Linked DNA regions of Daphnia pulex. Each later gene encodes a partner of the first gene's protein in a complex. Links are inferred from orthologs where the notes say so. Each region holds a gene or a part of one and is shown in the gene's direction. Other genes may lie near its edges.

Region 1 (7,818 bases):
TTATTTTTGTTTTTCAGAGGACGACCGAGTAATCAAAAGGGAGTTTAGCAAGTCCGGCATTCGGTAAAATAAAAACTGGAACAAATTATGTAATTATATTTACTTAGGTACAAGCAAAAAAATTTTTACCGCGCATTCATCATACATCTACACACTGTGGGCTAGATTCAACATTCTAATGCAATTGAGTAAAAAAGGGATTAAAATAGGGGGGACCGGAAAAGAGATGGTGGAGGCCGAACTCGAGGGATATGGGGAATGGTTGAAAATTTTAGGAGCAAAACTTACACATAACAGGGGATGGGAGAAACAATCGATTATGAAAAGAGTAAAACATAAACGGACGCGGGAATCAAACGGATGCAAATTTATGCAATACAACCCAAAGTTTGAAACAGAAGAGGAGGAGGATTTGTCGTCGTCGTCAAGTTTTTTTTTTTTTTTCATTCAGCACAACAATTTTGGAAGAGCTCGTGTTGTGGGCTTCGTGAGAACAGACCCCACAATATTTTTGTTTTGTTTCAAATTAACTGTGGGCTGCCCTCGCGTCCGGTACGGTATTGATTATTTGATGCCATAGCGCACTTTGGCAACACACTATTGCAGTGAGATGCCATCTTCAATCATATAGTCTTAGTTATTTGTTTCCTAAATCTTTCCTCTACGCCCCACGACCTTGTTGAATTTTGTTATACACAGCACTTGAACGAATGATTCATTACGATTTGTGATTAGATGTTAACCACGTTAGTCCTTCATACAAGCCGTCGCCTGTTGTGGCACATGCTGGCTGGACGTACCAGTTCCGATCACGAATACGAGTCAGCCCCAGTTTTTCTTGAATTTCGTGTGGTTTCATGGCTGTCAACATGAAAATGTCGTGAATAAATTGGGGTTCCACAGTCTCAATTATAATAATTGTAAAATACTCACCATCCTGGAGGTCTTGTTTATTTGCAAATATAAGGATGATGGCATCACGCATCTCACGATCGTTTATGATCCTATGAAGTTCTTGTCTAGCTTCGTCAATTCGATCTCGATCTGCGCAGTCCACAACGAATATCAAACCTTGGGTACCAGTATAATAGTGTCGCCACAGTGGGCGGATCTTATCTTGGCCACCAACATCCTGCAGTAATGATTCATATTTTAGTGTTGGGTTTAGAAATTTGATGGGTGAGGTCAAAAGGAACTAGCTTACCCAAACATTGAATTTGACATTTTTATATGTTACAGTTTCAACATTGAATCCAACGGTGGGAATTGTTGTGACTGACTGTCCTAATTTCAGCTTGTATAGAATTGCTATTTTGAAAAACAAAAATAATAAGTATAACTTGGAAAAAAACCAATGCTATCAGACAACACATAAAATTCTTTATCTCACTTGTTTTTCCAGCTGCATCCAGCCCCAGCATGAGTATCCTCATTTCCTTGTTTCCGAATATTTTGGACAGTATTTTCCCCATTCTCCTAATCAGCTCACTAACAAGCTGTTTTACAAGAAAAGAACTTTATTTCAAGCAACAAAATGACCCTGTCAGCCACAGCCATATAGTTTATCCACATCTGTAGAACTGAAGTGTCAAACTAGTTTGGTAACTTTTCAGTGACATTTGTGGCAAAAGTTGTTATCAGAAAAAAATAAACAGACTTTGCTCAGTCATTTACAGCATACTAGCTAACATACTATTATCAGATCAGGTTTTCCACTTACTTTAATGTAGACTCAACAATGACGTTTACTGGAATTTTAGCTGTAATATGGAAGTATTTTCGAAGGCATTCCTATGAACCGGAGTCGTTATTTGCACAAACACTATTTTGTTTTTGATGTGAGCACTAAGAAATCGATGGAAGGCGTTGGAAACAGGCGAAAATAAATAGTTTCTTTGCTTCTTCAGATAAAAAGGCACCTGTCACTTCAGTTAGCCGCCCAAACACCCGACCCGGTCTTCCCGATATCTTTGCAAGTCTTCAGAAGATCCAAAAAACTCGGGCCTTCCAATGTAATGAACAGACAGAATAGTACTCCTTGCATCTCACCAGATGGCTTTTTTTTCCTTCTTCCAATTTTGGTGACGGCGGCGTCTGAAAACAACTAGCTATTTCAGACTTTAACACATTCCACTCAACTAATCAATTATTTCTATTATTACACTTATTCAAGTGGAATAACGAGAGGAATGACATACACACACCAGTGTAATTGAGCAGATGGAATTCCAACACTGACAGCCAGTGTCCCCTTTTCTGCCCACCTTCTGATCCGCCCACCCAAGCTTCGATTTGATTCGATTTCAAAACCATTCCCTAACCGTCAACGTGTTCCCTCCCACATCTTTAAAATGTATTATTGAAACAACGAGTGATAAATTATTTTATTATAATTTTTAATGCAGGATTCATTGGTTCGAAAGGGGAAAATTTATTTAGCAGTTTCTAACATTTCTAAAAATTTGATCGGCAATACGGCAAGTGTTTAGTAGCGACGTCTATAATTTCAATTTAAGTAGCGGTCTCTGGCGTCAAGATTACGAAAGAAAAGTTGAAATTCATGAACACATTTTTCTTTTTAGGTTGCCGGAAGTCGACAAAATGCCTCAAGCCGGATCCCTATCTCCTCCCTTAACCCCCCGCAGCAACAGCTAACAGGTTGTCTCGGCTATCAAAGTGCATTTAAGGAAGCTGAATTACTCATTTTACAACTGAAACATTTCACCATGTAAGCCGCTAGCCGTAGTCTTTTGTTTTTTTTCCAAAAGAAGCATATTCACCATAAATATGTTCATGGTTTGTACATAGTGTTTCTATACAGTCACCGCCACCATGTTATGACGTTTTTTTGATGGATTGTTATTTCTTGTTGTTGCTTTTCGGACACATGTGTACTTGACTACTCAAAAGATTTGCTTTTCTCCCACAATACTTATTACTGGTTAGGTATTTTTCTATAAATAAGCACACTAGTGCTTGTTGCCTGGAAAGATTTATTTTAGCTCCTTTCTTTTATTACAGTACAAAACAGTTATTTATTAAGAAATAAAATGGAGACATCGAAGTAGAATTTCGAAACCGCACATTATTATGCTATGACGATAAAAAAAAAGCGGTAGAACCACCAAAAATATTCGGTTAAACTTTCGAGCGGATATATTTAGTGGAATATAGCGTGAGGTAAATTTTGAAGTGTGTGTCTAATCGATGTCCTTGAGTTCAATATCTTCGACGATCCGGTGAAAACTGCACGAAGTCATGCGGAGCTTTGAATACTTTGGTGTTTCGAAACAGTTGATAATAAGCTGAAACTCGTAAAACCACCGCCATTGCGATCAAATAGTGCGATGTGTAAAATCTAGCTACGACATAAGTAATTTCCTACAAAGTAAGTAGTAAGTAGGTAGTTGCTATATACAATAAATGAGTGATTTATTGTAACGTCATAATGAGGTCCAAATTCCTAAATTCCGACATTAATTTTCTCAGATTTATTTCGTGATTCTTAGGCACTTCAAGGTAAACGAGATTCCTCACGGTTGCCAATCCCTGGATAGAACTTGGCGAAAGGTCTCCATGGATTTTGGTCACGGCCTCTTTATCCTGATCCTGCTATCAGCTAATAAAACTCAGATAAAACTATCGTGTTTGCATTGTGTTGCCTAGAAGCAGCATAATCAGATTTTCAGTGGATTACAGCAACATCAATTGCTGGGTACTGGTCACAGTCTGCAATAACATGTCATACAATATTACGTGCCATAGGAGACGGCAAAAGTCACGTCATTCTTTATTTCAATTTAAGTTCTTAGATGGCGCAGTAGTCGTCTTCAATTTCATTCGCCAACAGAGGACTCTGCACTCTGGTGATCCGATGAGTGGCCCACTGGCCCTGAATAGAGTATGCAATGGCAACGAAAAAAACATTGAGTGAAAATTCAGACAACAAACGCGTGTATATGGTCGTTCCGTATTAAGATTAAGACAATTTTTTGTGAAAATGTCGTCATCCAAAGTGGTCCCTATCCTTTCAACCGCGGGTGCTATCCCTGTGAAAAATGACAAAGGGGAGATATCTATGCAAAAAGTTAAAGTCAATCGTTACGTATCAGGCAAACGACCAGACTACGCTACTACACATTCATCTTCAGATGATAGTGATGAAGAAGAGTTTATCAGACCAAGAAAGCAGGCAAGAGGAAGACCAGTAGAAGAAAGGTATTAAATTATTGATTGTAGATATGTATTTATATGCTTGTATATTTAAAAAATTTGATTAAATTGTAGTCCTGAAAAAGAATGGGACGAAACCCCAGATCTTCCACTTACTGCTCACAGTGACAGAAGATTAAAACGTCTTTTAAATCGTGAAGTTGACGACCATAGAATTGAAAGGCATCGTCATATCCATGAGCCTGAAATTATTGGAACAGAAGAAGATGAAGTAACACCTCATTTAGAAAGTGAAGAAGTAAGTTTTAGCAAAAATGCCCGAAGATGGGAATCAAGTGAAGAAGAGGATGAGGCAGAAGATCTTGATGAAGATGACATTGAGCGCAGAAGAATGATTGCACGTCAGAAGGCTGTTATTAAACAGCAAGAAGAAGTAAGTTAATATACTTTGTAGTATGATCATTGATCAATTCAATTCAATTGCAAATTTTGTTGTAGGAGTTGTTGGCAAGAGAGGAGGAGAAGGAAAGTGAGGAAGATGAAGATGACGAAGCTTCAGAATATGAAGAATATACAGGTTTGAAATAAAAGTCCCTTGATGTGAACAAGACTCTAAATCTGTTGTGTTTTTTATCCTAGATTCTGAGGAAGAAACGGGTCCAAGACTGAAGCCCATCTTCGTTAGCAAGAAAGAACGTATAACCATAGCTGAGAAGGAAAAGGAATTGCAAAAACAAAAGCTTATGGAACTTGAAGCTAAAAAGCTTGCCGAAGAACGTCGCCGCTATACCTTAAAGGTAAACCATTTTTAAATTTATACACTTTTTGAACTAAAAAAGCATTAAAAATCTATTAAACAGGTTGTTGAAGAAGAAGTCAGAAAAGAAATGCAAGCCAAAGACGAAAAAGACCTTGAATCAGGAATCTTGTCGGTGTTGACGGATGCCGAGGATGAAGAACTCGAATACGAGACCTGGAAATTACGTGAACTTAAACGCAATAAGCGTGACCGAGATGAAAGAGAGGCAGAAGAAAGAGAACGACAAGAAATTGAACGTATCCGTAATATGACCGAAGAAGAACGGCGACTGGAATTCAAGAACAATCCAAAGGAAGTCACAAACAAGGCACCAAAGGGCAAATATAAGTTCCTACAGAAATACTATCATCGCGGTGCCTTTTACCTCGTAAGTTCAGCTTTTAAAGATATTTGGGATTTTAAAAATAATTTAAACTCTTACTCTAACAGGACGAAGACAAGGAAGTTTTCAAACGCGATTTTGCTGTGCCAACTCTTGAAGATCACTTCGATAAGACTGTTCTGCCTAAAGTGATGCAAGTTAAGAATTTCGGTCGCAGTGGTCGAACCAAATACACACATTTGGTGGATCAAGATACATCACAAGCCGACGCACCGTGGGCCACGCATACTGCTCAGAATTTGAAATTCTACACACAGCATGCTGGTGGAGTAAAACAAGTGTTCGAAAGGCCTGCTTTGAAGAAGAACAATAACTCGGGTACTTGAGTTGTGGCACTGTTTTTATATTTGAAATTGAATTTTGTAACAATGTCTCATCTTTGTGGTTGATACATGCAAACCATCAATCGTACGTGAATTAAACATGTTTCCAGACATTCAATGTATCTAAAGGAAGGGGTAATCTTTTTTTTTCAGTCACTGCTTGTAGTAAAATTTTAAATCTTAGATTACCCTATACTTAGTAGTTCTCTTCTCTGCTGGTCTTTGTCTTTCTGGTCCTGGCTCCTTCTGGGCTGAGAAAACTTTTTTCGCACCCGCTAGATGTGCTGTGTACCGGGCTGGGTTGGGATGGGGTCATGGGGGTGTAAAAAGTTACACTAAGGGATAGCTCGAACAGTCGGACGCCGGCCTAGAAGTCAAGTAGGCCATGTCAGGATATTGTTTTGGGTCACGCCTATTGCACTCCGGGGTCCGGAGCGCTCTAGTGTCATAAGTGGCTATTGCAATCCGGAGTCCGGAGTCCTCTAGCGTCAAAAGTGGCTATTGCACTCCGGAAATTTATGGCGACGAATGGCAAATAACGACTGATTCTGTGTTTAACATAAATACCATTCAGCCTGAGTTCAGAGTCTGTCTTTCATTCAAGCTTCAATTATAGTGTGAAAGAAGAGGGAGTTATGCACTGATCTGTGGTTTCACCTTTGTTACAATATCGTACAACAGGTCAACAGCATGTGATGAGTTTTTGAGATTTCCCCAAATGAAAAACAAACCTGATGGCTTCAAGAAATTAGTGTTTGACATTTTGAAAAAAAATGTATCATGTTTGAAAAGTGAGATTTTACTTATTTCATCTATAAAAGTTTTAAGGTTTGCAGGATTAGGGGTTTTCGCTATTTCTTTACGTTTACGACCTGATCATGACTTTATATCACATAAGAAGAATGTTCCTCGATATCATTTAATAATGAAAGAAGTTGAGTGTGTATAAACAAAAACAGTAGGTTTACTTTCTACTCAAATTTAACACAATATATTTCACATAATAAGTTCAATTCTGGGTGTGTATACATGAGACTACATAATAAGGTATTTATTTTTTACATTCGTGACAGAACCATTCGTCATCGTCGAGGGGAGATAGATGTTACAAAATAGGAAAATACTGGTAGTCAAAAAGAGGAGTGGTTAACTTTGTTTATGATTATCTCCGCGGCGTTGGAACCTAAAGCAACCCATCATCAAAGGACAAGGCGCTTCCATATTCCGCTCTTAAAGGATCTTTGATTGACGCCGCACCATGTGCCAATTCTTTCCCCTCTTAAATCAATTACTTTTTCATTGTCAGTTCATTCATGTGATGACAAAGCACCGAGTGAAACTGAACACGAAAATACCAAGTATTTTTTCGCACTCACAATTCAGTTAAAATGTCTTTTGATATTCTCACTATAATAAAGTAAACTGCAATTGCATGTTAACTTAGTTTTGTATTGTTTTGTTTCAAGATATGAAAGACGTGTTTAGCTGTTAGTTTATTGGAATAAGAGACACGGGCATTGCATGGTTTATAGCGTGAAATCAGCTGAATCACACGTTACGTGTCAATCAGCAGAAATAGTGAGTTGCTGGTCAATGCGTTTGAAGGTCACAAAGAACCCCTCGAAGCCCCGTTCTGAGAACTCCGGCTCGACCTTCAGGCAAGTAGGGGGGCGACAGAGGGTGACTCACTATGTCGTGTGTTTATAGCGTGTTTAACAATCTAAATTATTACTTTGAATTTAATGATCTCTGTATAATATAGCTGAATCCCACGTTACGTGTGAATCAATCAGCAGAAATAGTGAGTTGCTGGTCGATGCGTTTAAAGGTCACAAAGATTAAGAACCCCTCGAAGCCCCGTTCTGAGAACTCCGGCTCGACTTTCAGGCAAGTAAGGGGCGACAAAGGGTGACTCACTATGTGCGTTTATAACGTGTATAAATCCTTACACTGAGCAAATAGAGCGAGAAATTGAAATGGTTAATAAGAAATATCACCCTGAATTAAAATTTTTATAAATTCTACTTTATTCCTGTTGCAAGACACTTAACTATATTTACAATTTGAATTTTAAGGTACTGATTCAATGTTGGACATTGTACTCTAGCTAAGTTAACGAT
Region 2 (7,547 bases), on another chromosome or scaffold:
TTATCCGGAATTATGTACACCTTTTTTTTCCTGTTACTTTCCACCTAGATTTTTTTTTTAATTTCTTGTGTTTATTTTCCTGGTCAGGATCCCATGGCCAGCTTTGATGTCAATGATCACGACGATGATCCATCACCTCGATATGATGCCACCGATTCCAACAGGTTAGTTGATGCAATTTTACCATTTTCTAAAAATAAACATTTCTCATCTGCTTGGTAGACACGGTACTCGGTGTGCTGGTGAGGTCGCTGCCCAGGGAAACAATTCGATCTGCGCTGTTGGAATTGCATTTAATGCCAACATTGGTGGTATATTCATTAACAGCCCATCCGATTAATAAACGATTTATTCACTTTCTGTTCTTTAGGTATCAGAATGTTGGATGGTGAAGTGACTGACGCTGTTGAAGCCCATTCTCTCAGCCACAACTCGCAGCACATTGACATCTACAGCGCTTCGTGGGGTCCTGACGACGATGGCAAAACAGTAGATGGTCCTGGCGAGTTGGCCACTCGAGCTTTCTTAGAAGGGATCCGAAAAGTGAGCTCAATTCCTGATACAAGTCCTATTGAGTCTAAATGATTCTCGGTTTATAGGGTCGTAATGGAAAAGGATCAATTTTCGTGTGGGCGTCAGGAAATGGCGGCAAAGAACGCGACAATTGCAATTGTGATGGTTACACCAACTCAATTTGGACGTTGAGCATAAGTAGTGCCACAGAGAACGGAGCCGTGCCCTGGTATTCTGAAGCCTGTTCTAGCACATTAGCTACAGCCTACAGCAGTGGGGCTGCCGACGAAAAACAGGTATAATACTTTAACAATACATGTCTTATTGCAACTAATCTCCTTTTAATTTGATCAATAGATTGTTACGACAGACTTGCATCATTCATGCACACCTAGTCATACAGGTACATCAGCCGCAGCACCACTAGCTGCAGGTATCTGTGCTCTTACGCTGGAAGCCAATCGAAATTTGAACTGGCGCGACATGCAACATATTGTCGTTCGCACGGCTAAACCTGATCACCTTATTGCTCATGATTGGCAGGTTAATGGAGTTGGTCGAAATGGTATTTTCATTTTTTCTTTCTCTACATAGATTTAATTTGATCGAGCAACACATTTTAATTTTTGTTAAAACCAGTAAGCCATTCATTTGGTTACGGGCTCATGGACGCAGGAGCAATGGTCCGCCTAGCACGGGTCTGGAAAAGTGTTCCTCCACAACAGTTTTGCGAAATTAAAGCTGCTGATACCAACACGTAAGTTTAACCTGATAAATGTGGCGCAAAGGACTTCAGTTACGTATGCGTGTTAACGAGTGATTTGATTTATCTACTTTGTGTTTTAGGATAATCGCAGCCAAAAGCTTGAGCAAACTGCATTTATTTTTGCGAGAGTGTGGAAATGTCAACGTTATAGAGCATCTTCAGGTATTTTGATTTAAAAACAAATTTAAACTTTGTACGTCATTGTCAGCTTGCTTATTTTAGGTATTGATTTCCCTATCTGCGGCGAACCGAGGAGAGATTCAAATTTTCCTAACGTCTCCTTCAGGAACTCGTTCAACGCTTCTTCAGCGTCGCCCTTTAGACAATTCTCGTAACGGTTTTCATTCGTGGCCTTTTATGTCGGTTCATTTTTGGGGCGAAAGTCCTTTTGGCGTTTGGACTCTTGAGATACAAAATGAAGGCCGATTTCCTGGTGAGTTATCTGATATGAATTTTCCTTTACATCCTTAGTCTTAATCAATATGTAATTTGCTCCTTAAAACTCAAAAACACAACTTAAAGATTAACCTAGTTTCTGGAATATTTCAAAATTGTAGCGACATTGATAGGATGGACTCTAATAGCGTACGGAACCAAGGAACACCCAGAGTCCCAATTATCATCTGATGACATTCCCATTCAACCAGTGAAACAATCGGTTGCTGAATTCGTCTCAAAAGATAGTCAAATTCAGCAGCCTCTTCTATCATCGGGACTTAACGTGGAGAAAAACCGTGAAGCAGAATTGCCCCAAACTCTCTTAATGACGACCGTTAGCAGAAGTCTTAGAGGTACTACTTGATTAACTTAGCATGATTGATTAACATACCATATTTGAATCCATTATACCTCTTCTGCTGTGGCTCCCAGGGTGTGAAAGTGGTTCCTATTTGTGGGAGGGCAAGTGCTTGGCAGTCTGTCCGAATGCTTCACATCCAATGAATCGCACCGAACTAAATGGTCTCCTTAGCGGTGTATGCGTTCCGTGCCACTATTCTTGTCTTTACTGCAGAGGACCAAGTGATTCTCAGTGCACTTCATGCTATCCTGATTCACAGCTCAAGTTTGTTTCTATACCAGGTACTGATGGTTAGACCTATGTTTGAAAAATCTATTAACAAATGTTGTTTCACCGTAGGATCCCAAATAGAACCAGAATCGCACTGTTATCCGCATGAACTCGTAAAGCAATTAACGGGCTACGAAAACTGGTCCGTGGGTGTCGAACTGGCTCTGGCGTTTAATTTAGCACTCGTGATGGCTTTAACGATTTACATGATGTGCACTAAAAAGAGTTTCAGTTCTTCTTTTGTTTTAAACTGTTGTAGCGGCAGCAACGAACGGGAAACGAACCACAGGCAAGGTGACTACGATCTGTTGACACAAACAAGCGCAAATCTTCCTCCACCTATTGGCGCCGAAAAATCAGTTTAAAGAGTAAAAGTTCTAAAGTCAACATTGTTTAGAAGATAAAATGTCAGTTTTTAATATTTATAAAATGTAAAGATTATATTTGTAAAAAGGTTCTATAAATATTTGAATGAGCGGTTTGCCAGATTCTGTAATAAATTACATTCTAACGGATACCATATTGATTGTCGTCGTCAGTCATTGTAAAAACTGGTAAAAACCGTGTTTGCTATAGAAGGCCTAATGCATATAAAACAAATAATTAAATGAGCTTGGTAAATGTATAGTGAAATAAATTTGCAGCAATCACAAGTTGTGTTAAGATTAAAGTTTTCACTAAAATATATGATTCAAATATAAAGGTAAGAACAAAGCCTACTAAATTAAAATCATACCTGAAAAAATGTTTATACATCACATCACAATAAAAAAATATGCATAAGGATTCTATAATATTAGAATAAAAAAGGTTATAAAAAATGATTTTTATTAGTTATCCCTATATGTACAATTTTTCAATTTGACTACAAAGATAAATTCCAGATAATTTCCATAACCTTAACTGTCGTTTTGGAGAAGGTTACATTTTATTTTCTTTTGACGGTTCTTGTTTTTTTGTTTCATGTTTCATTTCTTGGTCAAGTCGTTCTTTAGCTCTGTATACTTTAGATTGAAGGTAGAATGAACCACCTTTCGTCTTGTCATTAACTTGGAACAAGTGATCATAGTTCTTCTGCACCAACTCAGGTTCTAATTTATCCACATTCAAGATTTCTTTTGCTTCCTCAAGGGTCATGCCTGTCTACAGAATGAAAAAAAAAACATGTTAACTTTTTAAAATTTACTGATATTACATAACTTTTGTGTGTAACAAACAAACCTTGAAGTTAGCTTCTACACGTGATGCGCCGGCTTTCCCACCACCAGCTCTTTTGGCAGCTTCCTGGCTAGCTTGATATTCTTGTTTAAGAGCTCTAGCAAACGCTCGCCCAATAACCTGGCCCCCCATAACAATTATTTGGGCCAAATATTTTGCCATAACCGTGGCGAGATAGATTCAAAATGATTACGTGATGATTTACGTCTGTAGTAGTATCAAGGTAGTATACTGGAATGTTTAGCAGGCGAAAAACAAACGGAAAAGCTACAGAAAAAAATGAAGACTCTTCTCTCAGAACAGACAGGTCAGTTTAAAAAATTTAGTTTGAAAAATCTTAAATAACTTAAGTGATTGATTTGTTAAAAATATAAAAATATTTCATAAAAGTAAACTAAATAACGATAAAATTTTCTTTTCAATTGATGAATTGATCGCCCCACCCACTTGACCACTTGATGTCTCTGTCTGTCCGTAGCAGACGACGGATTCAAGCGTCGTTCTGTCGTTCCGTTGCTAATGCCGACAAAGTTTTACTTTTTATCAACACAGTTAAATTTCAATGATTATTCTTTTGACTGTACACATCTAGTGTTTTAGATTAATTCAAAATGGCTAATCGAACAATCAAAGAGGCAATTTCTGTTAAAGGAACAAATCCTCAATACTTGGTTGAAAAGATTATTAGAACTCGAATTTATGATTCAAAGTACTGGAAAGAAGAATGCTTTGCTTTGACAGGTATATTGAAAATTTTACTTGTGTTTTGATGCACTCATTTTATTTATGTATATGTATTTTTTTAGCTGAGTTGATGGTGGATAAGGCCATGGAATTAAGGTACATTGGTGGAATATTTGGTGGTAATGTTAAACCTACTCCATTTCTCTCACTTACACTAAAAATGCTTCAAATCCAACCAGAAAAGGACATTGTAGTGGAGTTTATAAAAAATGAAGATTTCAAGTAAGTTCTTTGACCAAAACAGACAAGTTATACAGGAAATCACCTAATATAATGTATCATTATAGATATGTCCGTGCCTTGGGAGCATTCTACATGAGACTTGTTGGAACATCTGTGGAAATCTATAAATATTTAGAACCACTTTACAATGATTACAGAAAAATTCGGTTTCAAAACAAGGAAGGAAGTAATAATAAAAATAAGATATTTTTAAAAAGAATACTGCAAATTAACATGTGGTTTTATTTAGATTTTGAGCTTCTTTACATGGATGATTTCATTGATAGTTTACTGAGAGAAGAGCGTTTTTGTGATGTTATCCTGCCCAGACTTCAGGTATAAATGTGAATTAGTATTCAACCTAAAAAATACTGATTAAATACGGTTTATTTTACTTTCAGAAACGTCAAATTCTGGAAGAAGCTAATGAAGTTGAGCCGAGAGTATCAGCTTTGGAAGAAGACTTGGAGGAAGAAGATTCAGAAAGTGAAGAAGAAGAGGGTGAAAGGAAAGGAGGTTCGTTGTCGCCCCCTCCTACTACATCGCGTTCAAAGCAGGACAGTGATCGAGAACGGGAACGTTCTCGTCGTAATAGGGATAAAGAACGTGAACGAGAGAGAAGTAGGGAAAGACGTGATCGACATAGAGACAGAAGTCGAAGTCGTGACAAAAGGAATCGCAGCCGTGAGCGTGACAGGGACCGCAGTCGTGAAAGAGAAAGGGATCGAAGTCGCCGCCAGCGAAGCCGCTCAGTCGAACGTTCGCGTGACTACAGAAGAGACCAAGACAGGGATCGTAGAGACCGCAAGGACCGCGGGAAAGATCGTGAATCAGAACGAGATCGAAGCAAAAGAGGCGAAGATCGTGACAAGTACAACAACAAAAAGAAAGATAGCAAAAAGAGTAGCAGTTCCAGTGCTGCCATCGATCCTGAAATTGCAGAAGCGAATGCCTTGCGAGCTAAGTTGGGGCTGGCTCCTTTGCGACCGTAATCTGCTGTCTTTTTTCTAATCGTTTTGTAATAAACACTCTTTTCATTTCCTTATTATTCCGAGGTCTATCTGATTCTTTATTCTTATTTCTTGTGTTGGATGTGCAGACTTCAACTTAGACAAGAACTTAGGATTCTTCCTAAGTGAGACGGTGTTCGTTATTGCAAATGTAAAAGAGTCAAAAACAAGGTAAGTATTAGCTGATCCCAACAGACATTTTAAACACAAATTTGTAGATCAATCATCATTTTGACACTACTATTTAATGTTGACCCCGTTTTCTGAATTCTTTGTAAAATGGCGAAAAAGTTTATATCTGTTCACGGATCCCGAAAAACTATTATTGCCCTCGGCGCGCAGTAATGACTTCATGATTGGCTGGTGCACCAGTATGAATTTATGGTGATTTTTATTTTTTGAGATAATTTTTCCAAAATTTCCTTTCGTTAAGAACTTACGAAGCATCAGCCGTTGCAAGAATAACAATCAGAAAAGGACTTGTTCCTCATTTGAAATTTTTCCTATTATTTTTCGTCACTTACAATTTTTCCTCAGTACCGTAGTTACTAGTTAGGCTAAAGATCTCGTAGTCTCGTCCTATAAGATAAAAGCTCAACACGGATTACGGTACTACGGCCTCGGAGATGCAGACGACACCAGCTTCCAATCCTTTTTAACGTGGTCTGACTAAAATTTAAATGATCTGTGATGTGTGGGATCTTCATGGTTTCTTTTCTTTTACTGGAACTGGACATCATTTTTCCAGCTATAAAATGTATTGCCATTAGATCACTCGTTGGCTAAAAACTATGTCCACTAGATGGTGTAAGTGTCTTTGATAGAATCGAAATTCCACCATTTTTTTTTCTAGACACTGAGAGAAGATGTAGATTGCAGATGTAGACAAAAAAAGACCGAACGCTACCTCAGAAAGTATCCTAGAAAATGAAGAGAGTTCTTCGAATCCTTTAGTTATCGAAAGGGGAATGTACACACCACATAATTTCTTCGAAGGCGGTGCAGTGGAGTAGTAGTTTCTCCAGGACGCTGTCTAGGCAAAGTACCGATGGTTCTCAGATAAACTTAATAGAGTTCCGACGGCCTGCCAGATCAGGTGCAAGCTGCAGAAACGGTGTATATATGGCTTGAAATCCGGTTTATTATTTATTGCAAAGTACCTTTTCGAATTGGTTAAAACCTGTCGAATAAATCAAACGGTTATTGGATAAAACAGATCTAAGTAAAATGTTTAATATCTACCAGCTTCTTGAGGAAAAACCAGGGGCTTTGTTCTTAGGTTGATTGATGGTCCCACGTTTGAAACACCAAACAGCGCGAAATATTACCTGTTATGGCTGTTATGAGCCTTCGAAAGAAAAACAATTTGATGTAATAAAAACAAGCACAAATAAACAACCAAACATAATGCAAAAGCTAAGAAAATATTTAAACACAGTTAATCTAGGGGGAATTGAATAGGGGAGTTGTGATACCTTAAGGACTTGAGGAAACTGAGGTAGAATATTTTATAGGACAGCATGGACTTCCTTTTTAAAAACAAATCAAATGTGTGTTTGCTGTTAACTTTGAATGAACCTGTTGGAAGATGGAAAAAAATAAAGTTTTACTCGAATGGAATAACAACCAGCAAAAGATTCTCTATTTTAATTAGGAAAATAAATAACATGTGTTACCATTTTCCCACCTGGTGAATTCTTAATTTGCTATCGCCTCCAAAATCTAAATTGAGCTTGGATGATGTTTCAGTCAATTCAATTCGTGAAGTGGACAATCAAAAGAAATCCTCTTACACAAATCGGAACCGGAAATCACCTGAAATTGCAGTGCATCATTAATTTCCAATTTTAGATTTTGGTCTGTAAGCTTTGTTCATCCTTCTGTTCTCTGATTAATAAGAAACAAAACTGAATTAACAATAGTTTCTATTATATCTGGTACTGTGGTTAAGTACTTGGTTATCTCACATAATAACACTAACAAGTTAATGACGACACGATTTTCT

The links.
Region 2: the proteins of microfibrillar-associated protein 1-like (region 1) and pre-mRNA-splicing factor 38A-like are in contact, whole or in part, in a crystal structure (PDB 5F5S), measured with the Homo sapiens proteins. The link is inferred for Daphnia pulex from reciprocal best matches to the Homo sapiens genes MFAP1 and PRPF38A. Residues at the interface, in NP_005917.2 of Homo sapiens: Glu275, Tyr276, Trp279, Arg282, Glu283, Arg286, Arg289, Asp290, Arg294, Leu297, Glu298, Lys301; in NP_116253.2 of Homo sapiens: Tyr124, Asn125, Tyr127, Lys129, His143, Asp145, Glu146, Asp149, His153, Tyr169, Val170, Glu172.

What each region holds. Positions count from the first base shown.
Region 1 is NC_060019.1:11,263,010-11,270,827, reverse strand, and holds microfibrillar-associated protein 1-like, read left to right. Parts: upstream 1-2,585; 5' UTR 2,586-2,728; exon of another isoform or gene 2,729-2,796; intron 2,797-3,509; 5' UTR 3,510-4,000; coding exon 4,001-4,218; intron 4,219-4,287; coding exon 4,288-4,606; intron 4,607-4,671; coding exon 4,672-4,750; intron 4,751-4,812; coding exon 4,813-4,970; intron 4,971-5,033; coding exon 5,034-5,360; intron 5,361-5,422; coding exon 5,423-5,701; 3' UTR 5,702-5,811; downstream 5,812-7,818. Other genes in the region: ADP-ribosylation factor 6, read right to left, coding at 719-861, 934-1,132, 1,205-1,308, 1,391-1,472. UniProt on the Homo sapiens protein: Involved in pre-mRNA splicing as a component of the spliceosome.
Region 2 is NC_060022.1:2,880,031-2,887,577, forward strand, and holds pre-mRNA-splicing factor 38A-like, read left to right. Parts: upstream 1-4,032; 5' UTR 4,033-4,177; coding exon 4,178-4,307; intron 4,308-4,372; coding exon 4,373-4,532; intron 4,533-4,597; coding exon 4,598-4,719; intron 4,720-4,755; exon of another isoform or gene 4,756-4,782; coding exon 4,783-4,868; exon of another isoform or gene 4,869-4,933; coding exon 4,934-5,524; 3' UTR 5,525-5,573; downstream 5,574-7,547. Other genes in the region: furin-like protease 1, read left to right, coding at 1-14, 88-164, 223-311, 371-543, 600-809, 871-1,078, 1,153-1,270, 1,360-1,441 and 4 more; mitochondrial import inner membrane translocase subunit Tim16-like, read right to left, coding at 3,270-3,491, 3,570-3,728. UniProt on the Homo sapiens protein: Involved in pre-mRNA splicing as a component of the spliceosome.